Xenopus tropicalis: one gene and its partner. The protein of the gene in region 2 binds, or shares a complex with, the protein of the main gene of each other region. Links are inferred from orthologs where the notes say so. Each region holds a gene or a part of one and is shown on either strand. Other genes may lie near its edges.

Region 1 (16,212 bases), on a different chromosome or scaffold from region 2:
ATGGTTAAATGATTCCCTTTTCTCTGTAATAATAAAACAGTACCTGTACTTGATCCCAACTAAGATATAATTACCCCTTATTGGGGGCAGAACAGCCCTATTGGGTTTATTTCATGGTTAAATGATTCCCTTTTCTCTGTAATAATAAAACAGTACCTGTACTTGATCCCAACTAAGATATAATTACCCCTTATTGGGGCAGAACAGCCCTATTGGGTTTATTTCATGGTTAAATGATTCCCTTTTCTCTGTAATAATAAAACAGTACCTGTACTTGATCCCAACTAAGATATAATTACCCCTTATTGGGGCAGAACAGCCCTATTGGGTTTATTTCATGGTTAAATGATTCCCTTTTCTCTGTAATAATAAAACAGTACCTGTACTTGATCCCAACTAAGATATAATTACCCCTTATTGGGGGCAGAACAGCCCTATTGGGTTTATTTAATGGTTAAATGATTCCCTTTTCTCTGTAATAATAAAACAGTACCTGTACTTGATCCCAACTAAGATATAATTACCCCTTATTGGGGGCAGAACAGCCCTATTGGGTTTATTTAATGGTTAAATGATTCCCTTTTCTCTGTAATAATAAAACAGTACCTGTACTTGATCCCAACTAAGATATAATTACCCCTTATTGGGGGCAGAACAGCCCTATTGGGTTTATTTCATGGTTAAATGATTCCCTTTTCTCTGTAATAATAAAACAGTACCTGTACTTGATCCCAACTAAGATATAATTACCCCTTATTGGGGCAGAACAGCCCTATTGGGTTTATTTCATGGTTAAATGATTCCCTTTTCTCTGTAATAATAAAACAGTACCTGTACTTGATCCCAACTAAGATATAATTACCCCTTATTGGGGCAGAACAGCCCTATTGGGTTTATTTCATGGTTAAATGATTCCCTTTTCTCTGTAATAATAAAACAGTACCTGTACTTGATCCCAACTAAGATATAAATAACCCTTATTGGATGCAAAATAATCCTATGGGGTTTAATTAATGTTTTATTGACAGACTTAAGGTATGGAGATCCAAATTACGGAAAGACCCCTTATCCAGAATACCCTTGGTCCCGAGCATTCTGGATAATGGGTCCTATACCTGTACTAGAGCACACAGGTCACATTTTGAACCCACCTTTCAGGCAATGGGGTGCATTTTACCAACATCATGCACGTTGCCTTTTAATTGGCTCTATGACAGGGAACAGGTCAGGCTTAACCTGTTTGTGGTGTTGCCATGATAAAATTAGCACTACTTCAAACAGATTCCGCCTGATTGTGGCACACACACAAAATATTTACTGTCTTCTAAATCCACAATAAGTCTCTTTACTGATCCTTTAAACCCCGTAAAGGGAAACTCCACCCAACCCCTGACCTAACTTTCCAAAATACATTTGTTTGCAATGGGTTTAGAGTTACATGGAAATGCACTGTCTGGCTGTCCCTTTCTGCTATCCAACCTTCCCCTCCTCTGCATTCTGCCCCCTAAGGGACATGTAACCCCCCATTTACACAAAAATGTAATCAGTGAACAGCCTCTTTGAAATCTTTTAATACCTACCACTCTGGTTATTCAAAGGTTAATAGTAGGGATGCACCGAACCCACTTTTTTGGGTTTGGCTGAACCCCCGAACCCACCCAGCAGGATTGGGCCAAATCCCGAATCCTAAGTAACATATGCTGATTATGATCGGAGGGGGTTAAAAATCGGGAAAAGATTTTTTAATGCCTATTTAACATTTTCAAAATTCTAATTTTCTAATATCGGCCCGATTTTAGCCCAGATGTTGGTCAGGCAGGTCCGTTGTTACTGCCCCTACACGGGACCAATATTGGCAGCTACAATCGGCCCGCGTATGGCCACCTTAAGGCTGCAGCATCCACTTAATCACTTAGATTTCCTTCTCCTCCTGTAACTCACTCAACCCCCTCCCTCAGGGATTTACTTTGGCTGTTGGCTACTGGGCATGCTCAGTTCTTCTCAGCTCAGATTACTAAACACGCCCTCCAGTCTAGCAGCCAATAAATAGATTAGATTACTGGTTTCCATTGAAACTCTGCTCTAGCAGTCTACTCCTATTTTTTTCTTCTAACCTCCTCTCCTGAGCTTAGCTTAACCATTACAGGGCTCAATCCAAGCATGACATTTAATCAAAGAAAGTTCTGCCTGTGTAAGCCTGCATTCTGCACTGCATGAACTTTACAGTGCACATGTGGTGTTTGCAGATGGAAATGTCACTGAGGGAAAATGGGCGCTGGGCAAAAGCTGCTATTTGATTTAGGAAAATGTGATGGTGCCGGCAAAGGGAGGGGATATATGCAGTACAAATGATGCCATTTGGGTGGGGGAGACGTGGGCTTTACATGCCCGTTAAGGTGGCTGTGCCCATTGTTTGGGGATTCTATTATTTGGCATCTGGGAGACTGTGTGCCATGGGAATGGAAGACGTGGGCGTTAAAAGGCAAGAGACAGTTATAAAATGGGCCCCAGTGGGTGTGTGTGTGTGTGGGATGAAGGGGAAGTGAGACATACATCCTGCCATACAGTCTGTCTCACTTCTGCCATATCAGAGCAGAGCTGTCACCTTGCTATTCAGCCAGTCCCTGTGCTACAGATGGGAGGGCAGTGACAGTCTCTTACTGAAGCAAATGGAAACCTCACAGGCTCACACTCTGTTACTGTCTCTTTCCCTTTAATTGCCTCTGCTTCACTGATTGTCTCTTGTCTCAATGATCACTATGATTGTCTCTCTATTCCTGTAAGTGCCGCTCTGCCCCTGTAACTGCCTCTCAGGCACTCAATGGCACTGTCTCGCAGTCACTGTAATCTCTCTCCATATGGCTGGCACAACTGACTTTCTGTTTGTGCAACTGCCTTTATGTGCCTGTCACTTGTCTGCCTGGCTGCTGTCTCGCTGACATTAAATCAGTCTCTGTGTCCCACACTTACTTTCTGTGGCTGGTCTCTTGGGTGCTTTTTCTCCTTCTTCTCCTACTTCCCCTGTTTAGTTTCACTGTTACTGACCTCTCCAAGGGGTGTGTCTCACTGAGTGTGACTGTCCCTCTCGCTCGGCAGCTCACCTGTGCTGCACACACCTGCTGGCCGGCCGGGAGAAGCAAGGCATTCTGGCCTTTGTAGTCCCAGTGGGGCAGGATTGCATTAATGTACTCACATTTCATTCTCTCAGTTTGGAACATTAATGATCACAAAGGCTAAAGTGGCTCAGTTTCTGGGACTCATAACCAATAGTCATTTTTGGCAATAACAAATTCATTTGATTACTCTACAATGTATGAGATAACAGGACAACACAGAGACTGCACTATCGTTGCTGTTTTACACCTTTTACTGTGTTTTACACTTCCTGCTTTACACTTCTCACACCCATTACTGTAATAGCCACTCCCAGTTCACACACACACCGCACACACCGTGCCCATACACACACACCGTGCCCATACACACACACCGATCCCATACACACACACCGTGCCCATACACACACACCGATCCCATACACACACACCGTGCCCATACACACACACCGTGCCCATACACACACACCGTGCCCATACACACACACCGATCCCATACACACACACCGATCCCATACACACACACCGTGCCCATACACACACACCGTGCCCATACACACACACCGTGCCCATGCACACACCATGCCCATACACACACACCGATCCCATACACACACACCATGCCCATACACACACACCGTGCCCATACACACACACCGTGCCCATACACACACACCGTGCCCATACACACACACCGTGCCCATGCACACACCGTGCCCATACACACACACCGATCCCATACACACACACCGTGCCCATACACACACACCGTGCCCATACACACACACCGTGCCCATACACACACCGTGCCCATACACACTCACACCAATCCCATACACACACACCGTGCCCATACACACACCGTGCCCATACACACACACCGTGCCCATACACACACACCGTGCCCATACACACACCGTGCCCATACACACACACCGTGCCCATACACACACACCGTGCCCATACACACACACCGTGCCCATACACACACACCGTGCCCATACACACACACCGATCCCATACACACACCGTGCCCATACACACACCGTGCCCATACACCACACACCGTGCCCATACACACACACCGTGCCCATACACACACCGTGCCCATACACACACACACCGATCCCATACACACACACCGTGCCCATACACACACCGTGCCCATACACACACACCGTGCCCATACACACACACCGTGCCCATACACACACCGTGCCCATACACACACACCGTGCCCATACACACACACCGTGCCCATACACACACACCGTGCCCATACACACACACCGTGCCCATACACACACACCGTGCCCATACACACACACCGTGCCCATACACACACCGTGCCCATACACACACACCGTGCCCATACACACCGCTCTAACTTCTCCAGCTCTCCTCCCTGCATGTCTCTCACATAACTACACACTGCATTTGCCTGCATACAAGCAGGGTCTCGTACAAAGGAATATGCCCCTAAGGGCCCTTACATGAGCGTGACATTCACATTTCATGCATTCCCTTGCAAGGGAAGGCATGATTTAAAGGAAAACTATACCCCCAAGCAATGTAGGTCTCTATAAAAATATATTGCATAAACAGCTCATATGTAAACCTAACTAAATAAACCATTTTCATAGAAAATAGACTTATTTAATAGTATGTGCCATTGGGTAATCCTAAATAGAAAACTGCCATTTTAAGTACTTAGGGCCGCCCCCTGGGATCATAGGAGTCACAGTGCACACAAGAAGGCACACATACATGCTAGGCCCCATCAGCCAATGAATGGACAGAGTTCTGCCTTTTACTCCCACACTACTTCCTGTTACAGTTAGAGCTGCATCACTTCCTGTCAGCTGATCTCTGAGGGAGCACACAGCCCATCACAAAATGGCGGCTCAAGGGAAAGGATGAAAAAGGGCAATATTTACTGATATATATATAACATACCTCCCAACTGTCCTGATTTTTGCGGGACAGTCCCTCTTTTGACAGCTCAACCCGCAGTCCCGGATTCTTACTGAAAAGTCCCTCATTTCCCTTTGATCTCCTGCACTGAAGCTAAAAATATACAAATTTAATTAAAACTGAGACTCGAAACTTTCAGACTCGAAAATTTCACCTTTTTCAGCAAAACTGTAATAACACATAAAACAGGCCCCCCAAAACCCCCCAGAAATGTGTTCAAACTTTAACTATCTTGTAGATTGTAAGCTCTTTTGGGCAGGGCTCTCTTCCCCTCTTGTATCGGTTATTGATTGCTTTATATGTTACTCCTTGTAGATTGTAAGCTCTTTTGGGCAGGGCTCTCTTCCCCTCTTGTATCGGTTATTGATTGCTTTATATGTTACTCCTTGTAGATTGTAAGCTCTTTTGGGCAGGGCTCTCTTCACCTCTTGTATCGGTTACTGATTGCTTTATATGTTACTCCTTGTAGATTGTAAGCTCTTTTGGGCAGGGCTCTCTTCACCTCTTGTATCGGTTATTGATTGCTTTATATGTTACTCCTTGTAGATTGTAAGCTCTTTTGGGCAGGGCTCTCTTCCCCTCCTGTATCGGTTATTGATTGCTTTATATGTTACTCCTTGTAGATTGTAAGCTCTTTTGGGCAGGGCTCTCTTCCCCTCCTGTATCGGTTATTGATTGCTTTATATGTTACTCCTTGTAGAGTGTAAGCTCTTTTGGGCAGGGCCCTCTTCACCTCTTGTATCGGTTATTGATTGCTTTATATGTTACTCCTTGTAGATTGTAAGCTCTTTTGGGCAGGGCTCTCTTCACCTCTTGTATCGGTTATTGATTGCTTTATATGTTACTCCTTGTAGATTGTAAGCTCTTTTGGGCAGGGCCCTCTTCCCCTCCTGTATTGGTTATTGATTGCTTTATATGTTACTCCTTGTAGATTGTAAGCTCTTTTGGGCAGGGCCCTCTTCCCCTCCTGTATCGGTTATTGATTGCTTTATATGTTACTCCTTGTAGAGTGTAAGCTCTTTTGGGCAGGGCCCTCTTCCCCTCCTGTATCGGTTATTGATTGCTTTACAGTGGTGTGAAAAACTATTTGCCCCCTTCCTGATTTCTTATTCTTTTGCATGTTTGTCACACTTAAATGTTTCTGCTCATCAAAAACCGTTAACTATTAGTCAAAGATAACATAATTGAACACAAAATGCAGTTTTTAAATGAAGGTTTACGTTATTAAGGGAGAAAAAAAACTCCAAATCTACATGGCCCTGTGTGAAAAAGTGATTGCCCCCCTTGTTAAAAAATAACTTAACTGTGGTTTATCAATTTCAATTTTCAATTTCAATATCAATTTCTGTAGTCACCCCCAGGCCTGATTACTGCCACACCTGTTTCAATCAAGAAATCACTTAAATAGGAGGTACCTGACACAGAGAAGTAGACCAAAAGCACCTCAAAAGCTAGACATCATGCCAAGATCCAAAGAAATTCAGGAACAAATGAGAACAAAAGTAATTGAGATCTATCAGTCTGGTAAAGGTTATAAAGCCATTTCTAAAGCTTTGGGACTCCAGCGAACCACAGTGAGAGCCATTATCCACAAATGGCAAAAACATGGAACAGTGGTGAACCTTCCCAGGAGTGGCCGGCCGACCAAAATTACCCCAAGAGCGCAGAGACAACTAATCCGAGAGGCCACAAAAGACCCCAGGACAACATCTAAAGAACTGCAGGCCTCACTTGCCTCAATTAAGGTCAGTGTTCACGACTCCACCATAAGAAAGAGACTGGGTAAAAACGGCCTGCATGGCAGATTTCCAAGGCGCAAACCACTTTTAAGCAAAAAGAACATTATGGCTCGTCTCAATTTTGCTAAAAAACATCTCAATGATTGCCAAGATCAATATCTTGTGGACAGACGAGACAAAAGTTGAACTTTTTGGAAGGTGCGTGTCCCGTTACATCTGGCGTAAAAGTAACACAGCATTTCAGAAAAAGAACATCATACCAACAGTAAAATATGGTGGTGGTAGTGTGATGGTCTGGGGTTGTTTTGCTTCTTCAGGACCTGGAAGGCTTGCTGTGATAGATGGAACCATGAATTCTACTGTCTACCAAAAAATCCTGAAGGAGAATGTCCGGCCATCTGTTCGTCAACTCAAGCTGAAGCGATCTTGGGTGCTGCAGCAGGACAATGACCCAAAACACACCAGCAAATCCACCTCTGAATGGCTGAAGAAAAACAAAATGAAGACTTTGGAGTGGCCTAGTCAAAGTCCTGACCTGAATCCTATTGAGATGTTGTGGCATGACCTTAAAAAGGCGGTTCATGCTAGAAAACCCTCAAATAAAGCTGAATTACAACAATTCTGCAAAGATGAGTGGGCCAAAATTCCTCCAGAGCGCTGTAAAAGACTCGTTGCAAGTTATCGCAAACGCTTGATTGCAGTTATTGCTGCTAAGGGTGGCCCAACCAGTTATTAGGTTCAGGGGGCAATTACTTTTTCACACAGGGCCATGGAGGTTTGGATTTTTTTTCTCCCTAAATAATAAAAACCCTCATTTAAAAACTGCATTTTGTGTTTACTTGTGTTATCTTTGACTAATAGTTAAATGTGTTTGATGATCAGAAACATATTGTGTGACAAACATGCAAAAGAATAAGAAATCAGGAAGGGGGCAAATAGTTTTTCACACCACTGTATATGTTACTCCTTGTAGATTGTAAGCTCTTTTGGGCAGGGCTCCCTTCCCCTCCTGTATTGGTTATTGATTGCTTTATATGTTACTCCTTGTAGAGTGTAAGCTCTTTTGGGCAGGGCTCCCTTCACCTCTTGTATCGGTTATTGATTGCTTTATATGTTACTCCTTGTAGAGTGTAAGCTCTTTTGGGCAGGGCCCTCTTCCCCTCCTGTATTGGTTATTGATTGCTTTATATGTTACTCCTTGTAGAGTGTAAGCTCTTTTGGGCAGGGCTCCCTTCCCCTCTTGTATCGGTTATTGATTGCTTTATATGTTACTCCTTGTAGATTGTAAGCTCTTTTGGGCAGGGCTCTCTTCCCCTCTTGTATCGGTTGATTGCTTTATATGTTACTCCTTGTAGATTGTAAGCTCTTTTGGGCAGGGCCCTCTTCCCCTCCTGTATCGGTTACTGATTGCTTTATATGTTACTCCTTGTAGATTGTAAGCTCTTTTGGGCAGGGCCCTCTTCCCCTCCTGTATCGGTTACTGATTGCTTTATATGTTACTCCTTGTAGATTGTAAGCTCTTTTGGGCAGGGCTCCCTTCCCCTCCTGTATCGGTTACTGATTGCTTTATATGTTACTCTGTATGCCCAATGTATGAAACCCACTTATTGTACAGCGCTGCGGGATATGTTGGCGCTTTATAAATAAATGTTAATAATAATAATAAATAACAAATGTAATAAGTAAATTTAGTCAAATGGGAGTGGTATTTAGGGGGTGTGGTTGCACGCAGCGTTTATTTTTGTCCCTGTTTTCAGTTTCAAAATGTTGGGAGGTATGTAACCATGTCTGATTCATTGATAAAAGCGACCAACAATGTATTTACTTTCTCTCCTGGGGCCCTTCCATTCCTGGCTAAATGACCTCTCTCTGGTTATAAAACCTATAACTATCAGGAAAAAGCCCTGTAACCCAATCCCATTTTAATAACCAGTGGCAATAAATGACAATTATTTTTTAATGTTATTACTGGTGCTTTAACTTAAATTGTGCATTAATAAGTCAGTGGGATGCACCAGTGACAACTACAAGTCCCAGCATCCCCTGCAAGACGACTACTTTGTGACCTGCAGCAGCTATACAGTCATATTTCAAAGCGATACAACTTCATTTGCCCTACTTCCGGTTTGACTTCATCACTTCCTGCGCGTCATCCGGCTGCGACACCCGCGTCTCGACGAGTGCTTCCGAAAAACGAAAGGTTTGTTGGATACTTACCGAGCTGCGCTAGAACTAAGGGGATCTGGGAACTTGTGAGGCCTTTAAAGTTGCAAAACACCGGCCCTTATTTACGGCAGGTCGGCCCTGGGGGCGGGGCCTGTTTGATACGAATCCCCTCTCCGTTATTTATGTTATAAACAGGGTTATACTGAGGAACCTGCAGGGATCTCTCTTCCCCTCATGTTTCCTCACACCGAGCGGTTTTCTTGCATTTTCCTGGTTTTAGACTTTCCCCCCCTTTATTTTGTATACAAGTTCCCTTCTACTCACAGGGTCTCTTAACCCAATAAGGGGTAATTATATCTTAGTTGGGATCAAGTACAGGTACTGTTTTATTATTACAGAGAAAAGGGAATCATTTAACCATGACATAAACCCAATAGGGCTGTTCTGCCCCAATAAGGGGTAATTATATCTTAGTTGGGATCAAGTACAGGTACTGTTTTATTATTACAGAGAAAAGGGAATCATTTAACCATTAAATAAACCCAATAGGGCTGTTCTGCCCCAATAAGGGGTAATTATATCTTAGTTGGGATCAAGTACAGGTACTGTTTTATTATTACAGAGAAAAAGGAATCATTTAACCATGAAATAAACCCAATAGGGCTGTTCTGCCCCCAATAAGGGGTAATTATATCTTAGTTGGGATCAAGTACAGGTACTGTTTTATTATTACAGAGAAAAGGGAATCATTTAACCATTAAATAAACCCAATAGGGCTGTTCTGCCCCCAATAAGGGGTAATTATATCTTAGTTGGGATCAAGTACAGGTACTGTTTTATTATTACAGAGAAAAGGGAATCATTTAACCATTAAATAAACCCAATAGGATTGTTCTGTTCTAATGGGTTTCCAGATAAGAGGTCCAATACCTGTAGTCTTTCATAGGGATGCACCGACTCCACTGTTTTGGGATTCAGTTGAACCCTGAATTCTTTTGTGAAAGATTCGCTGAATCCTGGTACAAAGGGGCTAAAGAGAACTCCTCCTTTCCGCTATCATGCGATGAAAAGTCATGTGACTTTAGGGATTCGGTTTGGCCAGGCACTGGCCAAATCCTGTATTTAATGCATCCCTATTAATAGTGCCTGTTGCCTTTTCTATAGGATGTCTAAAAGGAAGGTCACATTTGTGGATGGGGCTGAAGACGACGATGATGAGCAGAAAAAAAAAAGGGTAAGTTAAGAAGCAGAGCCGAATTGCACCATGTCGCTTTTCTTTTTCCAAACTGATCCCAGTAACCTTTATAAAGACGCCATTATATAGACGGTCTGCATTAGCCAATGTGCATGTCTGACACGGTCTCACCCCTTTATTGAAGCTCCCGGATGTAGTGGGAGGCCCAGGAAGTCGATTTAAAGGGAAACATTCTCTGGACAGCGATGAGGAAGATGATGAGGAAGAAACCAGTGATGGACGTTCTGCAAAGTATGACATATTAGCCCCCGAGGATGTTGAAGGTGAGATTCCATAGCAGGGTGCCCGCTTTGTGCCTCTTGTAGTATTATAAACCCCTTTACAAGAAACAAGCGGACGCATAATATAAGGATGTTTGGGAGAGGGTAGCTAAAGATACCTGGTACTGAAACATCCTATGCATAAGTTGCCCCCAGGCCACCCTAGTGTATTGGTACCCACAGTAATGATGAGGGAGTGAGCTGCAGGAGCAGTGCTGCTTGCTTTGCTTATGCTGAGCTGGAGGCAGGCCAGTAATTCCATAGGCTGAACTGCAATTTTAAACTCTACTGCAACCTATCAAAAGATGGCACTTCCTCCAGCTCAGCATAACTTGGGCACAATGGGCTCTCCACTCCCAGTCACCTAAAGTCATATCAGGGTGTCTGCTGCAGTAAGTACCCATCAGCTGGGGGTGGCTTGGGGCAGTCATCTACAAAAGAAGATCATGGCCATTTTGCGGACTACTTCATACTGGATATTATAGTAAAGTCTTTGTACAGGCTATGAGCAAAGCAAATGTTATGCTGACAGATACCATAAAACTATGGCAGCATAGGGATTCCCCTGTACTAAGCACAATTCAGCAGGAACAGCCCCCTAAGTTTGCTCATAGCCTGTACAGAGAGATACCATAAAACTATGGCAGCATAGGGATTCCCCTGTACTAAGCACAATTCAGCAGGAACAGCCCCCTAAGTTTGCTCATAGCCTGTACAGAGAGATGCCATAAAACTATGGCAGCATAGGGATTCCCCTGTACTAAGCACAATTCAGCAGGAACAGCCCCCTAAGTTTGCTCATAGCCTGTACAGAGAGATGCCATAAAACTATGGCAGCATAGGGATTCCCCTGTACTAAGCACAATTCAGCAGGAACAGCCCCCTAAGTTTGCTCATAGCCAGTACAGAGAGATACCATAAAACTATAGCAGCATAGGGATTCCCCTGTACTAAGCACAATTCAGCAGGAACAGCCCCTTAAATTTGACTTAAATTTGTCTTAAATTTGTCTTTGCTCTTCTTCCTCTGCAGGACAAGAAAACGCTACTCTGGAGTCGGAGGGTGGTGTTCCGATTACTCCTTTTAACCTGAAGGAGGAAATGGAGGAAGGGCATTTTGACTCTGAGGGCAACTATTTTTTGCGTAAAGAAGCTCAGATTCGGGACCACTGGCTTGATAATATAGACTGGGTGAGTGAATATGAATTGGGAGAACATGAAACGTAATAGCAGAATTTGAGTCCCTTCAGGTGGAACAGGGTGATTACAATCCAAGAATCAAGTTGGGCACTGTATGAACACAGTCACATTAGATGCCTCTTGGAATGCACTGAACCCAGTATTCAGTTTGGGATTCAGGCAAGATTCTGCAGAATCTGTAAAATCACATGAACACAGAAGTAAAAAATTAAGCGCGCGCTTCATTTAACTGTTCCGTAGCTTAATTTGCACATGCAAATAAGGATTCAGTTCAGTATTTGGCCAAATCATTTACAGAGACTTTTGGGGTTCGACTGAACCCAAAATAGTGGATTCGGTGCATCCCTAGATGCTTCCCAACTTTTTAGATTTAAGGCTGTCGCTTCTCTTCATGACGCCCTAAGCATCCCGTCATGTTCAGATCTGTTCTTGCACCCCACCAGTGGCATTGGCCAAGGGAAACTGGCACCTCTTCATGTGATTGGCCAGACAGGATAGGAGGAGGATGCTGGGGCAGTCAGGATGAGAAGAGATCATTGTATATTGTAGGGGAAGAAGCACTTTAAGATGAAAGCAGCACACATGGACCCTTCTGCTTATACCTAAACATGTGCGCCCGTGACCAATGGCACCCAGTAACCAGCAGTAACCCCTATCCTCTTGCCCTAGGTCCGAGTTAAGGAACGCACTGCACCCACAGAAACCGCTGATGATGATGACTCTGATTCTGAGGAAGGCAGAGCACCACTGAGCAAGAAAGTGCTACTGGAGGGAATCTTGCAGCTGCTTCAGCCTGGCGAGACTGTGGCTAAAGGAATCCAGCGTCTTGGAGGGACAGGAGGCAAAAAGGCAACTGGGGGCCAGAGAGCAAGGCAGCAGAAGACCCCCCAAGGCAGGAGAAAGAAGAGAGGGACTAAGTCTGACGGAGACAGAGAGCAGGAAGATAATACAGATTCTAAAATGGATGAGGGTAAAGGTGAAACGGATTCAAGGCAAGAGAGAAAGGATGAGCAAGGTCAGGAGTCCCTAAGAGACAGGGTGCGGGATAATGGCCAAGAGGAAACTGCACAGAGCAGAGTGGCTGCGGGGTCGGAGGAAGCAAGTAACGAGGCAGAAAGTAGGCCAGAGCCCCTCGAGCTCCTCATATCCCTAGCAGATCAGATGGTAGCCCTTGGTGTGTATGAGATCTACCAGGACACATATGAGAAGGTGGCGTACAGGCTCAAGACCTTGGCTCCACCTGCCGAGCTGGACATGTTTGCTGATGAGGTGGAGGAGAAAACACTGGAGAAGAAGGCGGGTAAGGGCCGGTACCACTGATTATTGTGCTGGGAAATAACATAGGCCAGCCCGTGGCATCACCCCCTTTCTTTTCTTTTTAGAGTCCCAGTCGTCGGATGCAGTGATGTGGGAGTACAAATGGGAGAACAAGGACGGAGCAGAGCTGTATGGGCCCTTCTCCAGCACACAGATGCAGGTAAGTGGCTTCTCTGTAGGTAGGTGGGACAATAAAGGTGCATCACCGACTGTTTGTGTGTTATTTTCTCCCACCTCTCTGCTCGCTTCAGTTTCCTATCTTGTAGTGGGTGAATGGGATGGGCTAGGGAATGATGGCATTTATTCGAAGTGCAGCAACTTTTTGGGGGCCTAACCCTTCATGAGGCATACCAACCAGTGCAATAGAGACAGTTAAATACATAATAGCATAAATAATTACATAATTAATTATATAAAAATACAAAGACCTGAAATTCCACAGTGACCGGTAGTAGCAGTAGCAGTAGCAGTAGCCCAAAAAAAAGTTTATAAACAAACATTTTTGAAAAGTCCATAAGTAAAAACATTTTTGAAGTCCATAAGTAAAGTAAATCACCTACCAAAGTAACTCTAGAAAATGAACTACTAACAAAAATTCTTTATCGTTTATATGTGCAGAAAAACATAATTAGAAATTATTATAAATAGCGAGACATGTTACAATCCTTGTTTAACCCTTGAGGATACTTCGTTTTTCAAGCCCATATCCAGTAGCATTCCTTTGGTAGTAAAATTCTCTTTATATCCTGCCCCTCCCTCACTTTTACCTGCTCCAATATTTGCCGTCTAAGTTGCGAGATCTGATGGCCAGATTCCAAAAAATGTTCAGCTAAAGCTGTTTCCTTTCTGTCTTTCCCTAGCTTTGTAACCAATTCTCTGAGGGGTTTATAATCCTGAATTTATCCCCATTCAATCGCACGCGCACTGCGTGACTTCTCTGCCCAACGTAAACCAATCCACAGGGGCCAGCATCAGACTGGGAACCCAGGGGCCCACCAGAAAACCTTAGACCCTAGGCCCACCCTACAAACTATTTTTCCTCCTTTCCTCACCCAACCTCTTTATTCTCCTAGTCTCTTTTATTTACATGCTAGCATCTATTCTTCCATCTATTTCTACTCTTCCTTCCCATTCAGAAATAGGGAATGACCATGAAACAGGCCAAATGGTCAGGAGCAGGAGGACCCACTGACACCTGGGCCCACCGGGAGTTTTCCTGGTATCCTGGTGGGCCAGTCCGACACTAATGGGGGTATTTCATGTAATAGACCACATTTTTACTATTACAGTTAATAGTTCCTTTTATTGGTAATTTTGAACTATTATGTGGATGTATTACGTTATCCCCACAGATCATACCATTGCAATGGCTACAGTCAGGGCTGGACTGGGCTGGCGGGGACACTGGGAAAAATCCCAGTGGGCCCCAGCGGCCCATGCCGGCGCTCCCCCTGCCCGACCGTTACTCCCCTGACGATTTAACCTTACGCATGATTGGGGAGGACGTCTGGTGGGGGACCCTGCAGGGGGTTAGGGGACGTGGATTGCAGGGGCACCTCTAGGAGCACTAGGAGCCCCGTTGGCCCCTGCACCCCCTAGTCTGACCCTGGCTACAGTTGGTGCATGGATATGTACCTCCCTTTTCACATACTTCACTGTATTTTTTATATATTATTTAGGCTCAACTTTACCGATTCCCCCATTGTCTTTCCTTTTTTCATACGAGAACATCTGTGGATTACTGAACAATTTACCCAACTTTGGGTCCGATTTCAGAACAGCCCAGTATTTTAACACCAGCTTTTTAATTAGTCCAGCATTATTGTCATAAGTACAGGTATGGGATCCCTTATCCGGAAACCCGTTATCCAGAAAGTTCCGAATTACAGAAAGGCCATCTCCCATAGACTCTATTATAAGCAAATAATTCTAATTTTTAAAATTGATTTCCTTTTTTCGCTGTAATTAGAAGCCAGTACCCAATAGGGCTGTTCTGCCCCCAATAAGGGGTAATTATATCTTAGTTGGGATCAAGTACAGGTACTGTTTTATTATTACAGAGAAAAGGGAATCATTTAACCATGAAATAAACCCAATAGGGCTGTTCTGCCCCCAATAAGGGGTAATTATATCTTAGTTGGGATTAAGTACAGGTACTGTTTTATTATTACAGAGAAAAGGGAATCATTTAACCATTAAATAAACCCAATAGGACTGTTCTGCCCCCAATAAGGGGTAATTATATCTTAGTTGGGATCAAGTACAGGTACTGTTTTATTATTACAGAGAAAAGGGAATCATTTAACCATTAAATAAACCCAATAGGGCTGTTCTGCCCCAATAAGGGGTAATTATATCTTAGTTGGGATCAAGTACAGGTACTGTTTTATTAATACAGAGAAAAAGAAAATTGGTTTTAAAATTCTGAATTATTTGATTAAAATGGAGTCTATGGGAAACGGGCTTTCCGTAATTTGAAGCTTTCTGGATAACGGCTTTCTGGATAAGGGATCCCATACCTGTAATACCATTTATTGTTTTGTGATACCACACAATTTCTAAATAAAATCACCCCCTGTAAAGCCATAGACACATAGCATGCCAGTGGTTGAAAAAAGGACCCTCTGGGTTGCCCAAGAATAATCTCTGGGTGGGTAGCCATGTCGGTGCTGTTTCAATGAAAAGCCATAATATCCGCTGCTTCTCTGTTGCAGGAATGGGTGGATCAGGGCTACTTCGCCGAGGGAGTTTATTGCCGGCGAGTGAGCGGCTCCGGGAGTCAGTTCTACAACTCACAGAGAATAGACTTTGAGCTTTACATGTGATTGGTCCCGGCACTCTCGCTGCCCCGCCTCTTCCACTGTGATGGACTCTATGGACTTCCCCTGTGGGACACTGACACATGGAAGAGACCATTGTGTGTGCTGGTATATCCCCCTGAGTGCCGTTTGTGAGCGAGAGAAGCCTCCCGGAGTGCACACTCATGCTAATCTGGTCTGTACGTGTGTGTGTGATCCTTACACAGATTTATTGCAGGGCTTCAGCTGTTTGTAATAAAAATATTTTATTTCTCTTATTGGTCTCTATGCCGTGTCAGGCTAAGCGGTATATTTACCAACCGGGGCTGGGTATGTGAGATTAACCTTCTATAGAGTCCGAATAATGGGTAAATACACCCACGTTTGC
Region 2 (16,293 bases):
ACAGTGCCCCCATAGACACTCCTGCTTCTTCTGCGGCTCCTGCTCCTTATGGGGCTCCTTGTGCGGTGGCAACAGGCCCTTTTATAAGGTTGCGCCAGTGCATACGTGTGACGTCAATATGCACGGGGCGCAACCTTATAAAAGGGCCTGTTGCCGCCACACAAGGAGCCGCATAAGGAGCAGAGCCGCACAAGGAGTGCCCGGCTCCAGCCAGCGCCTCCTGCTGTCCCGGATAATCCAATGAATGTCCCACATTTCCGTAATCCGGGACAGCCCCGCGGAAAGCGGGACAGTTGGGGGGTATGTCATATCTGGGGTCGGACTGGGCCGGCGGGACACAAGGAGAAAACCTGGTAGGCCCTGCCCCTAAATTTATGCCACCCTAGGCCTGGGCCTTTGTGGCCTTGCTACAAATCCGGGCCTGGCTCCAGGGTTTCCTTGCGTCAATAGACAAAGCAGCGGCCAATTTGAAAGCCTCGTGTTTTACTGAACAGGAAATGAATGTAAAAGCGAATCCTTGTTATTAAATTGCCACGTAGTTGAAATGTTGTATAATGAGGTAAGGAATTCCAGTAGTGTGCATTGTTGTGCAGATACAATATTGTTCTGGAGATAATAGCAATGGCACATACATATAATTAAATACAATTAACAGCTAGTGTCTGCCAAATATTTATATTTTTTGTTGTTTAAATGAATGGCGGTTTAATTGGTGTCAGATGGAAGGAAGGGCTGGTATTACAAATTTAGTGGCAATGTGGCTCGTGGTAGATTAGTAATAACTTGTCCTCCATTCCCACCCCCGACACACCTCCTTATCCCCTCCCAGCTCCCTTTCTAGAACTAGCCAGTACAAAGGACAAATGGGCTGCAAGCTCCTTTTCTCTATACAACAAGTTCTCCCATATCCTTCTCTATAAGGGGCACTATAAAACAAGTCCAAATTCTTGTATCGGTTATTGGCTGCTCTGTATGTACATCTTTATGTTCATTGTATACACCCATTTATTGTGCAGCACAGCGGAATATGCTGTCCTTTTTATGAATATGAGATAATAATACCTCCTAAAATTTCAGATATCTCAAACTAACACAGGTCAGTCATTGGTTTGATTCTGACTAAACTAGCAGAGCAACGCCACCTAGTGGCCCACTAACATGTGCAATCATTGCAACCAAACACTTTTCTGTAATTAGATACAGGTATGGGACCTGTTATCCAGAATGCTCGGGACCTGGGGTTTTCCAGATAAGGGATCTTTCCATAACTTGGATCTCCATACCTTAAGTCTGCTAAAAAATCATTTAAATAATGAATAAACCCAATAGGGCTGTTCTGCCCCCAATAAGGGGTAATTATATCTTAGTTGGGATCAAGTACAGGTACTGTTTTATTATTACAGAGAAAAGGGAATCATTTAACCATTAAATAAACCCAATAGGGCTGTTCTGCCCCAATAAGGGGTAATTATATCTTAGTTGGGATCAAGTACAGGTACTGTTTTATTATTACAGAGAAAAGGGAATCATTTAACCATTAAATAAACCCAATAGGACTGTTCTGCCCCCAATAAGGGGTAATTATATCTTAGTTGGGATCAAGTACAGGTACTGTTTAATTATTACAGAGAAAAGGGAATCATTTAACCATTAAATAAACCCAATAGGGCTGTTCTGCCCCCAATAAGGGGTAATTATATCTTAGTTGGGATCAAGTACAGGTACTGTTTTATTATTACAGAGAAAAGGGAATCATTTAACCATTAAATAAACCCAATAGGACTGTTCTGCCCCCAATAAGGGGTAATTATATCTTAGTTGGGATCAAGTACAGGTACTGTTTTATTATTACAGAGAAAAGGGAATCATTTAACCATTAAATAAACCCAATAGGGCTGTTCTGCCCCCAATAAGGGGTAATTATATCTTAGTTGGGATCAAGTACAGGTACTGTTTAATTATTACAGAGAAAAGGGAATCATTTAACCATTAAATAAACCCAATAGGGCTGTTCTGCCCCCAATAAGGGGTAATTATATCTTAGTTGGGATCAAGTACAGGTACTGTTTTATTATTACAGAGAAAAGGGAATCATTTAACCATTAAATAAACCCAATAGGACTGTTCTGCCCCCAATAAGGGGTAATTATATCTTAGTTGGGATCAAGTACAGGTACTGTTTTATTATTACAGAGAAAAGGGAATCATTTAACCATTAAATAAACCCAATAGGGCTGTTCTGCCCCCAATAAGGGGTAATTATATCTTAGTTGGGATCAAGTACAGGTACTGTTTTATTATTACAGAGAAAAAGGAAATCATTTTCAAAAATTCATCATCAGAATTATTTGCTTATAATGGAGTCTATGGGAGCCATTCCGTAATTCGGAACTTTCTGGATAATGGATCCCATACCTGTATCAGTCTTTCCCATTGCTGATGAGGAACATCAGCCCACAGTTTGATGCAGAACTGCTTTAATCCAGACAAACTACTTGTGGCACACAGCGGCAAACCTTAATTGACCCAGGTACCCCCACAAAAAAAAATCTTAGGATGCACCATGCTGGGCCCCACTATCTCCCCCTGGGCACTCACTTGCAAATGAGTGATTAGACAGCAAAGTTTAAACTTCAGAAGAAGACAGGTAGGGGAAACTGCCATGCAACAGATGCAACAGACACCACAGCTCCCCCCCCCCGAAATAAAAAAAGCCGGGCAAATATATATTTATTTTTAAACCTCTATTTAGTGTGATTTGTACAGGTCAGAAAACTCAGTATCAGGGATACAATAATGGGTGTCCCCTAGTTATTTTGTAAGCATGGTAGAAGTCATTAAAGGGGTGGTTCACATTTAAGTTAACTTTTGGTATGTTTCAATTGGTCTTCATGATTTATTATTTATAGTTTTTGAATTATTTGCAGCCTTCTTCCAACTCTTTGCAGTTTTTAAATTGGGGGTCACTGACCCCAGCAGCGAAAAAGCGATTGCTCTGTGAGGTTACAGTTTTCTATTCAGCCCCTCTCCTATTCATATACCAGTCTCTTATCCAAACCAAATAGAAAATGGAGACCAATTGCAAATTGTCTCAGAATATTACTCTCTACATCATACTAAGTTAACTCAAAGGTGAACAACCCCTTTAGCTGTCCTCCAGCTGAACTGCCCCTGCCACTCAGAGTCTGTCAGAGAATGAAGGTATAGTTCTTCAGCAGCTGAAAGACTACAAAAATCCTTATTCATTTTAGATGGGGCTGCACTGCTTTACACTATGAGTGATGTTGCGTCTGTAACTGTCAGAGGGCACAGGAAGCTGTAAATCAGCAGCAACTGGCAGGCTGCATATTAGATATTACTTCTCCCATATCTTCCTTTCATGTGAATATAAAGCCTGACACTGTGCAGCCATCTTTCCAATGCAGCTGTCAGTCTGAAGGGTTGCCATGACCAGATTCTCAGCAGAGGAATCAAAAAGCTTCAAGAAGGGGTTGGATGGCTTTTTAGCAAGTGAGGGAATACAGAGTTATGGGAGATAGCTCTCAGTACAAGTGAGGGAATACAGGGGTAGGGGAGATAGCTCTCAGTACAAGTGAGGGAATACAGGGGTAGGGGAGATAGCTCTCAGTACAAGTGAGGGAATACAGGGGTAGGGGAGATAGCTCTCAGTACAAGTGAGGGAATACAGGGGTAGGGGAGATAGCTCTCAGTACAAGTGAGGGAATACAGGGTTATGGGAGATAGCTCTTAGTACAAGTGAGGGAATACAGGGGTAGGGGAGATAGCTCTCAGTACAAGTGAGGGAATACAGGGGTAGGGGAGATAGCTCTCAGTACAAGTGAGGGAATACAGGGTTATGGGAGATAGCTCTCAGTACAAGTGAGGGAATACAGGGTTATGGGAGATAGCTCTCAGTACAAGTGAGGGAATACAGGGGTAGGGGAGATAGCTCTTAGTACAAGTGAGGGAATACAGGGGTAGGGGAGATAGCTCTCAGTACAAGTGAGGGAATACAGGGGTAGGGGAGATAGCTCTCAGTACAAGTGAGGGAATACAGGGGTAGGGCAGATAGCTCTCAGTACAAGTGAGGGAATACAGGGGTATGGGAGATAGCTCTCAGTACAAGTGAGGGAATACAGGGGTATGGGAGATAGCTCTCAGTACAAGTGAGGGAATACAGGGGTAGGGGAGATAGCTCTCAGTACAAGTGAGGGAATACAGGGGTAGGGGAGATAGCTCTCAGTACAAGTGAGGGAATACAGGGGTAAGGGAGATAGCTCTCAGTACAAGTGAGGGAATACAGGGGTAGGGGAGATAGCTCTCAGTACAAGTGAGGGAATACAGGGGTAGGGGAGATAGCTCTCAGTACAAGTGAGGGAATACAGGGGTAGGGGGGATAGCTCTCAGTACAAGTGAGGGAATACAGGGGTAGGGGGGATAGCTCTTAGTACAAGTGAGGGAATACAGGGGTAGGGGAGATAACTCTCAGTACAAGTGAGGGAATACAGGGTTATGGGAGATAGCTCTTAGTACAAGTGAGGGAATACAGGGTTATGGGAGATAGCTCTTAGTACAAGTGAGGGAATACAGGGGTAGGGGAGATAGCTCTTAGTACAAGTGAGGGAATACAGGGGTAGGGGAGATAACTCTCAGTACAAGTGAGGGAATACAGGGGTATGGGAGATAGCTCTCAGTACAAGTGAGGGAATACAGGGGTAGGGGAGATAGCTCTCAGTACAAGTGAGGGAATACAGGGTTATGGGAGATAGCTCTCAGTACAAGTGAGGGAATACAGAGTTATGGGAGATAGCTCTCAGTACAAGTGAGGGAATACAGGGTTATGGGAGATAGCTCTCAGTACAAGTGAGGGAATACAGAGTTATGGGAGATAGCTCTCAGTACAAGTGAGGGAATACAGGGGTAGGGGAGATAGCTCTCAGTACAAGTGAGGGAATACAGGGTTATGGGAGATAGCTCTCAGTACAAGTGAGGGAATACAGAGTTATGGGAGATAGCTCTCAGTACAAGTGAGGGAATACAGGGGTAGGGGAGATAGCTCTCAGTACAAGTGAGGGAATACAGGGTTATGGGAGATAGCTCTTAGTACAAGTGAGGGAATACAGGGGTAGGGGAGATAGCTCTTAGTACAAGTGAGGGAATACAGGGGTAGGGGAGATAACTCTCAGTACAAGTGAGGGAATACAGGGGTAGGGGAGATAGCTCTCAGTACAAGTGAGGGAATACAGGGGTATGGGAGATAGCTCTCAGTACCAGTGAGGGAATACAGGGGTATGGGAGATAGCTCTTAGTACAAGTGAGGGAATACAGGGTTATGGGAGATAGCTCTCAGTACAAGTGAGGGAATACAGGGGTAGGGGAGATAGCTCTCAGTACAAGTGAGGGAATACAGGGTTATGGGAGATAGCTCTCAGTACAAGTGAGGGAATACAGGGGTAGGGGAGATAGCTCTCAGTACAAGTGAGGGAATACAGGGGTAGGGGAGATAGCTCTCAGTACAAGTGAGGGAATACAGGGGTAGGGGAGATAGCTCTCAGTACAAGTGAGGGAATACAGGGGTATGGGAGATAGCTCTCAGTACAAGTGAGGGAATACAGGGGTAGGGGAGATAGCTCTCAGTACAAGTGAGGGAATACAGGGGTAGGGGAGATAGCTCTCAGTACAAGTGAGGGAATACAGGGGTATGGGAGATAGCTCTCAGTACAAGTGAGGGAATACAGGGGTATGGGAGATAGCTCTCAGTACAAGTGAGGGAATACAGGGGTAGGGGAGATAGCTCTCAGTACAAGTGAGGGAATACAGGGGTAAGGGAGATAGCTCTCAGTACAAGTGAGGGAATACAGGGGTAGGGGGGATAGCTCTCAGTACAAGTGAGGGAATACAGGGGTATGGGAGATAGCTCTCAGTACAAGTGAGGGAATACAAGGTTATGGGAGATAGCTCTCAGTACAAGTGAGGGAATACAGGGGTAGGGGAGATAGCTCTCAGTACAAGTGAGGGAATACAGGGGTAGGGGAGATAGCTCTCAGTACTAGTTGATCCAGGGTCCGGTCCGATTGCCATCTTGGAGTCAGGAAGGAATTTTTTCCCCTCTGCGGCACATTAGAGAGGCTTCAGGTGGGGTTTTGCCTTCCTCTGGATCAACTAGCAGTTAGGCAGGTTATATATAGGCATTATGGTTCAACTTGATGGACGTGTGTCTTTTTTTTCAACCTTACTATGTTTTCACAGAGCTGGGATCTTTGACTTCTGTTATTACCCACAATTTATTTTGCCGACAGCAGGAATTGTTTGTAAACTCGCTTTATGGATTGACTAATGTAATGTAATCAGACGGAGCTGAGCTTGAAGACACTTACTTTGTACCTAGGTACGAGAGCAAAATAGCCACATTAAAGGGAAACTCCAGCTTCTGAACCAAAATTTGTTAGAGCCCCATGCAACACAGAAACCCCTAATATACCTATCCCTGTAATCTGTTCCTTCAAAAAGTAGGAATAAATACCATTGTTATATGCTGAAATCCAGCTGCAAAACAGTTCTTCTCCTACATTATTTGAAATCCTGGCAGGGGAGGAGGGACTAAAGCACTGATGTTACAAATTGTAACAACTTCTTCACAGATTACAGACAGCATGCGAATCTACACAACTCACAATGCATTGAACGGTGATCTTCCTTTCATTATTGACATCACGTGTGCAGGGAATTGTGGGATTGGGAGGAGGCAGGCTGAAGGCAGGCTGAGGACAGCCGACTACTGTTACATTTTATTTGAGTCTCAAAGTAGTCAGATCAGCAGGGGAACAGGGGGTGGGGCTTAGGCATATTTTTAACTGATGTATATTGCAAAGAAAGCTTTAGTTGCTTTGGATGGAGTTCCCCTTTAAATTGTCTCTAATATTGGAGAAGTGGGTGGGGTAAGAATTTCCTTACTCAAATTTTTTTTTTTTTTTTTTTGGTAGATAGGCATGTATCACTTCATTCCGATTGTATGGGTTAAACAGAGGTTACTTCTGAATCCCAGCTCATTGCTTTCTGCACATTTCTTCTCATGTCTATGTAAACAAATGGGGAAAAGTTATCAAAAATAGAGTCTTGTTGAAATGTGTATTTGGTATTATTTATACTTAATAAAGGAGGTGCCATGCTGCTTGCTCTACCAAAATACAAAATCAAAAGAAAAGTGCGCTTCCTGGTGGCCGTGTGTAAAAGGAATAAACATTTGGCAGAACCCAAAACACCTGACATGTAAGAGATGGCAGGAAAAGCAAGTGCAGTCTGCAGCCAGAGCCGATTCAGACACTAGTACCAGGGGAATGATAAAAAATGGCACAAAGACAAGCAAATGAAGAGAGAGAAACCGTAGACGCTTGGCTGAAATATAATTACTTCTGTGGAGGTGACGGGAGTTAGAAGATACAAAGCTTTTTACATGTTAACAAGGTGGCACCGAGAAGCCAATAATAAACAGTTGTAGGATGAACATGAAGCCTCTTCTTCTCTTCAGAAATGCATTTTTTTTAATGGGGAGCAGAAATGGAATGATCTGTTGGCTCCCCAGTGTTGTATTATCCCTGCACTGGGGAACTGATCTCGAGGCTGTATATTCCGTTAGCTCATCCTAATGGAGACAGATACAGAATGTAAGTGCAAATAACACAGGGTTTGTTATCCTTGTCCTTTGGCTCAGGAAGCAGCACTTTGTGAGGAAGGATCCAATCCTGCAGGCAAATCAACAATAAGGGGTGCACAGTCATCAGGCTCCTCTTCAAAATCCCACTGGAATTTCTTGGTTAGATGAGCCCTGAACCGAATTGCTTTCTTCCTGAGAGCTGGATTGGCAGTGGGGGAACACAGAAAGGAGAAGAGAACCTGTGGAAACAAGAGGAGATCTTTGTAACAACATTCAGGGAGTAAAAGCCCAGAAAAAATGGACAGTAAAAATGTATCAGTATGAGTAGTGTCTGTGAGCAGGGCCGGGAGTTGTAGCCCAAAAACATCAGAAATAGCACAGGTTACCCGATCTTTTTATAGACTGCAAATGACTAAATTATGACTTCCAGTTAAAATACAAGCTATGAGGTATAAACTGAACATTCCTGTCCCACACAGAAGAATGTAGATTGTAAAAAAGTGTGAAGTACCTGCAGAGTACTGGTAAGGAAATTGCTCTGGGATACAATGTCAACAAAGAAGTCAGTGGGTACTTGTGCCAGCTGGTGGTATAGGACTGATATAGTTTCCATGTACAGTTCTGGGTGCTGCAGGGAGAAATTCTCTGCCCGGCACAAAAGGTTCAGTATTTTCTTCCACTGCTCAAATGCTTCATACACATTCCCAAGTACAAAGCAGACAAAGGAGAACTGCAGCTCAGCTGGAAGGGAAAGAGTTAAAGTCAAGATAAGTAAGGTAAGTCCCTACTGGGCAAAACCCACCTCCCACCTGTACTACTATGCCACTATGCACATAAACAGGGTTAAAGTAGAAAGCAGTTGGACTTACCAAGCAGCTCCAAGGGTTGCCCTGGGTAGTGTGTATTCAGCAACTGCCCCAGGGCATAGGAAAGGTCCAAGCTGTGCTGGGTGATCTCAGTAGGGGTGGCATTATCAGGGTACGTCTTGTCAGGAATCAGGCTAAACCGAATCTCTGTTCCCTCTTTCTGCTTCATTTGGGGCAGCCTGGCCATGCCCTCCTTATAGCTTTGGCACACACTGTCATATCTGGGAAGAGAACAAACCTTGTAAAGCACTGCCTATATCTGTGGCGCTATAGCAATACAGTACAAAGCCAATGCTATATTTTATGGAGAATAGTAAACATATGTAAAAACAAATTAAAAGTTGGTATATAGCAGGCAGCCAAGTGCCACAGACCTAATGTTTGGATAAAAAAAATAATAAAGTTTCTTTATTCTAAAACATACAAATGCCTATACCCAGTCTGCATACATTCCCACAAATACACACTATAATAGGCACACCATTTCTAATAGGACACTTATCAAATTGGTAAATTCCCACCCTCCTGACAGCGCTGTTAGTTCCCCCTGGCTTTTCCCATACCTGGGCAGATTATGTTGGACTCGGTCGGCAGTGTGGGTCATGGGTTCCGTAGGAAGGACCTCAGGAAAGGAGAAGATGGTGCCACATTTCGGCTGTAGCCTGAACATGGACTCTTTCTTGATGTGATTACTGAGCGACACCCAGCGACGCATGCTCTGATAAGGATATGGCCCCAGGAAGGAATCTAAGGATTGAAGCTCCTCCCTTAGTTTTTCGGCTTCTTCTTGAGGGGCTACGACCATCTCTTCCTCCTGGGGGTCCCAGCGGAAAAGACGCAGCTCTCTCTGTTGCAAATAGAGGAACATGCTGCTGCGCGGGCTCATGTCTCCAAGGCCCCCTCCTTTACCAACCACGTTGTAGTGCATGAAATGAACACCCGGGGGCACCATTTTTACACCTCTAAATCGAGGTCCCACTTGCCAGCTATTATAGTCTATGCCAAATTCAGAGCCTTCTGGTACCCCCAATATCACCAGGGTTGCACCTTCAAAGAACAGCTGCCGGGCAAGTTCAGGATCCATGTCTGTTGAAGGGGTGTCCATCTCTATAAAAGGAAGTTGTTAAAGGTTATTCATTAATTGGTTTTCTAACGCTTTGTATTCTCAAACATTACCAGTTTATCTTTGGGGGGTATATAGACATGTTTTAGGGTTATGGACACAGGGCACGGTGGCTGTCCCAGCAACAGGGACACAGAGTCCTGGGACACAGGGAACCCACTTCCTGTTACACTCCCCAGAAACAATGCTGTTTTGCCTAAACATGCTCATACTGGGAGGGAGCTCCCAGTGAGGGTGGCCATGTTTGGTGACATGCAATAACTGAATCTCCTGCCTCGCTCATTATACCTATGCCTGTGACATCACACTCCTGTGCATAAATTAGAGAGCTGGGATTCTACAGCTTAGGGTCCCAACATGGCCATCAATATAGAGGGGGGGGGGCAAGTGGTGGGTGTTGAGTAAAGTTTGTCTAAAGTTGATGATTTCAGAGCAGGCAAGGATTCCTATATAGAGCTTTCTGCTCCCCCAGAGTTTCCCTTCTTCTCTTGCCTCTGCTCAGTAATATGCAGAACCACCCCCAACCCTTTCTCTGGCTTTAGGGCTCATACTCACAAGTGGTTTTGCTTGTGAGTCACAGATACAGGGACAGCAGAACCCAGAGTGACAGATACAGGGACAGCAGATCCCCAGAGTGACAGATACAGGGACAGCAGATCCCCAGAGTGACAGATACAGGGACAGCAGATCCCCAGAGTGACAGATACAGGGACAGCAGATCCCCCACAGAGTCACAGATACAGGGACAGCAGATCCCCCACAGAGTCACAGATACAGGGACAGCAGATCCCCCACAGAGTCACAGATACAGGGACAGCAGATCCCCAGAGTGACAGATACAGGGCCAGCAGATCCCCAGAGTGACAGATACAGGGACAGCAGATCCCCAGAGTCACAGATACAGGGACAGCAGATCCCCAGAGTGACAGATACAGGGACAGCAGATCCCCAGAGTGACAGATACAGGGACAGCAGATCCCCAGAGAGTGACAGATACAGGGACAGCAGATCCCCAGAGTGACAGATACAGGGACAGCAGATCCCCCGTTAGACAGGGAGGAAGGACACACTAGTTGCCAGACTGATACCCCTGACACAATAAACCCACCCTCACTACATACCTTTAGTACTGTAACAGCCTGTAGGCAGAACAGCTCACATTCGTACCCGGAAGCAGAAAAGCTTTCCCTGTGCAGCACAATAGCCCTCCCCCTGGAAACCCGACCCTATGAAATAATGGTTCCTATAGTTAACTGTCCGCAACATTTCCAAATCCCTGTGTTCTGGAACATTATAGAGCCTGAGCGCCTCAGACTGAGAGGCACAACTAGAAGGGAAGCAGTAAGCACTGCTGTAAAGGTCGAATTGTTCTAATAAAAACACAGTTCCAGGGGGACACCGGCACTGAAGGGTTAATACCACCTTCTGGGGGGGGGGGGGGGAACTGGAACTTATGGGAGGAGGACACAACTCCCCTTCAGGGAGTTTTCTATTTATTTTACTTTATTTTATTTGACTTTTTATTGTTTATATTGCATCTCTCCTTTTCCTTACAGGAGATCTTGGGCAGGAATCATGGTTCAGCCCCCAGACATGTATGGAGCTCTAGAGAAGGGCAGGAGCTCTGGTTAAGTCCCTTCAGCAACTGGGGGAAGGGGAGCTGCTCACCCCCCCCCCCTCACTTCACGCAGGTTGCAGGTTCCCCCTATGGACTGGGACCCTGGGGCTACTGCTGGCAGAGATAGCCAGCATCCTTGGGCTACATGGGCAGGATTTGGTGCTCCGCTGCTGTATGTGGTTTGGCAGCGCAGGAGGGTGGGAGCTAGTGATGTGTCGGTCAAGAAATCCTCGACTCGAACTTGCCCACTCCCAACCCTAACCTGCCCACTCCCAACCCTAACCTTCCCAACCCTAACCTGCCCACTCCCAACCCTAACCTGCCCACTCCCAACCCTAACCTGCCCACTCCCAGCCCTAACCTGCTCACTCCCAGCCCTAACCTGCCCACTTCCAACCCTAACCCTGCCCGACCCGGCTTCTTCCCTCTGTAGACCCGCACCTGCCCCACATGTGCCTATAAATTAGAGAGCCGGAAGAGGAAGCCGGCAGTGTAAGGTCACAGGTGGGGAAGGTGAGTGCAACCCACAATTGATGTGCCAAGGTTTGGCCGAACCCACCAGGAATCCTATTACCACACAGGTTTCTTTTCTTGATTGCACCCAGTGTTGCGCTAGACTTCGGTCTCCATTCCTGAGCCTCCCTGGGTACGCAAGCTAGCTCATTCACTGGCCTCCTTGCAGGGTCTTGACAGACTCCCTAGATAAACTGTTTGCTTCCCAGTCTCCTACAGGTTTTTTGGGCAAGCGCAAACCCCCAGCCATTTCTATTCTTCCAGACTCTGGCAAGGAGTCGTAACTTGCTAAGGAAGGTCAATTCTCAGAGGGCTTATCTGATGAAGACTCCCCTCAGAGAGCCAATGAGGTTCCTAATTGAGGCCATCTCAATGTGTCTGCCCCTAGCTCTGCAGACCCCCCCAAGGATCTCTTCAAGCAACAGAAGAAGACCTCTAGAGTCTTCCCCTGACACGACCAACTCAGTCATCAAGGACGAATGGGCCTTTCCAGATAACAAGAAGTCAGATGCCCTACTCACCATCCCTGTAGGCTCCCACAGGGGTTAACGGTTTTCCAAGAACACCCTTGCCAGGTGGATCAGAGGCACTATTATCAGAGCCTATCCGATTTGGGGCAAGCCCTGAGTCAGAGTCACAGCTCACTCTACCAGAGCCCTGGCCACTTCATGGGCAGCTAAGAACCTTGCCTCTGTTGAGCAAATTTGCAAGGCTGCCACCTGGTCTTCTATTCACAGCTTTACATGGTTTTACCAGGTGCACGTAGCAGCTTCAGCGGATGCTGCCTTCGACAGAAAGGTGCTGCAGGCATCAGTACAGGCTCAGACATGATTCCCAATCCCACCCTAAATCTATTTTGGGACTGCTCTTGAAAACGTCCCCTCAGTGCCTGTGTCCCCCTGAAAAGAAAGAGAAAGTAGGTTCTTTATCTTACCTGTAAAATCTTTTTCTCACTTGATTGATAGGAGGACACAGGCATGCCCTTCCCTGCATAGTCTTCCTGCCTGTCAAACGACTTGATGGAATGTGTCTCATGCCTCAGCAGTCTCCCTTGGTCCTTCTTGGTGGGAGTCTTCCCCACCTCTGCCTGTGCGAAGGCACAGTTTCTCAGCCCTTGGCCCATAGATATAGTTCCTATAGTTCTACTTAAGTTATTTTTTACTGTTTTTTGTACGTTCTGGGCAGTTCCAGCCCCCACAGAGGGTGTAGCCTGCTGGGAGGGCTGCCAGCATTTGTTCTTTTAGTGTCCATTTTAGTTAACCCTTCATTGCCTGTGCCCCCCTTTCAATGAAGAGAGAAGATAAAAATCCTTCTTTCCTGTAATGCTGTGTTAAAAAGTGTTTGTTTTATTCCATTGTGATGGTAGTAGTAGATCAAAATCAGTAAAGATGCGGGTCTCAAAAACTGGTTCTGTGCAGAACTCTACCTGCTAGTTATGCATGCCGTTGATCTCCCAGTTTCATTAGTTTTGGAGTTGGAATCTCTGTGGAAGTCATCCTGTTTTGGCTTCCCCCTTCCCCCCTCTCTTGGTTGCTGTAACAGCCCAGTCACCCTGAATTACAGGTGACCCCTGCCATTGAAATGCCACTGAATTACCGCAGCATTCAGCAGAGTTGGGGTATGTCAGGGCTTGTCCAAGACATACCTAAATACAAAAGTACTAGGTTGGCATTTCTGCAGCTGGCAGGTTCTAAAAGGAAAGGTTGCCTGGGTGTTTTCTGCTGGCAGAACACTCATTGTGCTACAGGCCTTTAGTGATTCTGTCAACATAATTAACCCCCTTTTTTATATCAAAGCATGGGGATCACAGATAACTGGTTAATAGCCAAGGCTATATTTGGGTCCGTTGCTACCTTGATCAGCTCATGGTCCTGGTATGCTGCAAATGTTCTGATTGCTGAAGATCCCTTACCCTTCTGCATGGCTGCCGGATTTAGCCAAAAGTATCTGGTGGTGGGCTGGGGAGATATATTTTTTAGCATTACTTTATTTACCATATAGGCACTTGTTCATCCCTACATCTCTGGCCATATCTACTGTATAGGCACCAGTGGGCCCCTGCCTACAGTGCCAGCTTTAGGGGTGAGGTCCACAGGTACCTATATGGTAAATACAAAATTATTTTGCCTACTGCTGTATACTTGCTGTTGGACCATATAGGTACCCATGGGTCCCCCTATAAATCTGTTGCCCAAGGCAAGGGCTCTTTGAGACCATATGGTTAGTTCAACCCAGGTCAACCCAGGTTTATTTTTTCCATGGTGCTGTTTTTGCAGGGTCGGACTGGGGGGGGTGCAGGGCCCACCGGGGTACATTTCAAAATGAGGCGAAAGAATGGAGACCAGTACAAAAAAAAGTCACACCAAGTTTGTTTTTATTGGCTATAGAGCAGTGACATCACGGAGCACAGGGTGGAGGGGAGTCAAGGGAGAGCACAGCATTGCATTAGGTCAGGCCTCCCCCTGTGCGACGTTAACCCTTTCACACATACACAGCTCAGCCAATCCCCAGCTAGCAGGGACATCTCCAGGCTTGGAAGCTGACAACCAACAGGCTAATACAGCAGCGTTTTCTACTTGCAAGGAGTTGGGAAAAAAAAAAAAAAAAAGAATTTGTTCTGACCTTTGCAGTACGGAAGCTCAGTTACCAGTTTAATAGTTACATAGTACATAGTTATATTCACTTACTGCCCTCAGCAGCGGGTTAGATATGTTCTCGGACACACAGAATATTCAGGATTTAAAGGAACACTACAACTCGAACATATTCATCAATCTCCTTTTTACTTTACGGTGCTCCTAGCTGCAATGGATTTTGCCGGGATCTGCCAAGCTAAGATTTAGACCACAAACCAGACTAACAGTGGGAGTCAGACATGAAACACAAGGTTGCTTGCCTGGAGCTTCTATGCTGTGACCCCCCCACAGGAGCAGTTCTGGGTCACTGAGAGACAAGACATTTCTGAAAATTCACCAGATCTGCTCCCATATTGTGCACTGACTGTTTAGTTACAGCAAAAAATGATATCCATTTACAGCACCCACCATGAAAGCTAATCCTAGGAGCCCACTTACTGAAACACCGACTCCCTTTTTTCTACTTCTTTCTCTTCCCTCACTGCCTCTACTCCTCCAGCCTCTCTCATTTTCTCTCCCCTACTGTTCCCCCTCCAGCCTCTCAAGTTCCATATACCCTATTATGCCCCAGCTTCTTTTTGCTTTCTCTCTTCTTCTCTGCCACTCCATCCCCCCTGCTTCTCTTTCTCATTCTGTCTCCTATACTCTTCTCTCTACACCTAATGATCTACTTTCCTGCCCACTTCTCTTTTTACCCTTCTTTTAGCCTGTATGCTTTCCTGTTTTATTCTTCTCGTCTTACATTTTCCTTTTTGTTTATCCAGCAATCAGAGCCCTCTGGACCTATTTTTTACTCTGTTTAAATATTGCAAGACCCCTGTTTGTTATAAATGAATGTAAAGCGCTGTGTAACTTGCTGGCGCAATATGAAGAAATGATTACTATGTCATCTCACCATTCTTATTCTTCCTCATCATATTTTATTTAAATTTTAACTCCTATCATCCCCCTGAAAGCCAAAGTTCTCTGCCTGAACCACAACCAAGTTGTGGACCCACCCTTCTTTCATTGTCATTTGCCTTCTCTTCTCTTATCTTACTCCTCCTCACCCCCCTGGTGAGCATGGTATGCTGTGATTGGGCGGCATTACTGTTCATTTATGCTGACATGCCAGTTGCTCCTTTCCAGTGCTTGCAAATATCTTATCTTCCTTATATTGCATTTGCTTCTCAACTCTTAAATTAAGAACACCCTTGACGAACAAACTAGTGCTCCTCTCAGCCATTATTGTCATTTCAGATTAGGACAGATGTTATTTAAGACTTGGACCCATGAGATCTGCAAGATTTAAATGTCTTTTCTAAAACTGATGCAGAATGTATGAAAATGTCTGGTTGTTTAATTATTATTAAATTATATATACTTACATAGGCTGGCAGTAAATTAGGGATATACTGTTGCATTTTAGGAGGAGTCAGGAAGGGATACTTTGTCCCTCGGTGGGGTAACAGTTAGTGTTTTGCATTCTCTTTGACCAATAATCACACTGGGGGTTGAAATTTGTCTTTTTCATTCTAAATAACTATGTACCAAGTAAGCAATTCATTTTATCTTAACTGTACCAAATCAATAATATCAGTTATGCAGCATTTAAAATCAATCAAAAAGAGTTTGACCCACTGAGTGCAGATTATCAGAAGATGATTTGATAGTGCCGGACTTCTAGCTAATTTGTTCTCCTGGATGCAAATGATCAGGCTCAGACCGTGCTGCGTTTCTATCTAATGCAGAGTGATCTCCAGGCTGAAGATTATCAGGGCAGGCTCAGAGCGTGCTAGGCTTCTATCTATTGCAGAGAGGTATCCTGATTAATCCGTAGATTAACCCCCTTCTAGGCTGAAGAGCCAAGAGCATCAAGGAATTGATTCTTTGAAGGTCTCTAG

What was found.
Region 1: aar2 (region 2) and cd2bp2 share a complex: the UniProt entries of both Homo sapiens proteins name them as parts of the U5 snRNP complex. The link is inferred for Xenopus tropicalis from reciprocal best matches to the Homo sapiens genes AAR2 and CD2BP2.

The regions. Positions count from the first base shown.
Region 1 is NC_030685.2:13,547,360-13,563,571, reverse strand, and holds the start of cd2bp2 (CD2 antigen cytoplasmic tail-binding protein 2), read left to right. Parts: upstream 1-8,980; 5' UTR 8,981-9,029; intron 9,030-9,045; exon of another isoform or gene 9,046-9,126; intron 9,127-10,159; 5' UTR 10,160-10,160; coding exon 10,161-10,229; intron 10,230-10,374; coding exon 10,375-10,513; intron 10,514-11,542; coding exon 11,543-11,700; intron 11,701-12,378; coding exon 12,379-13,009; intron 13,010-13,091; coding exon 13,092-13,186; intron 13,187-15,740; coding exon 15,741-15,851; 3' UTR 15,852-16,212. UniProt on the Homo sapiens protein: Involved in pre-mRNA splicing as component of the U5 snRNP complex that is involved in spliceosome assembly.
Region 2 is NC_030686.2:39,749,154-39,765,446, forward strand, and holds aar2 (protein AAR2 homolog), read right to left. Parts: upstream 10,808-16,293; 5' UTR 10,765-10,807; intron 9,628-10,764; 5' UTR 9,626-9,627; coding exon 9,084-9,625; intron 8,742-9,083; coding exon 8,524-8,741; intron 8,396-8,523; coding exon 8,166-8,395; intron 7,894-8,165; coding exon 7,708-7,893; 3' UTR 7,387-7,707; downstream 1-7,386. UniProt on the Homo sapiens protein: Component of the U5 snRNP complex that is required for spliceosome assembly and for pre-mRNA splicing.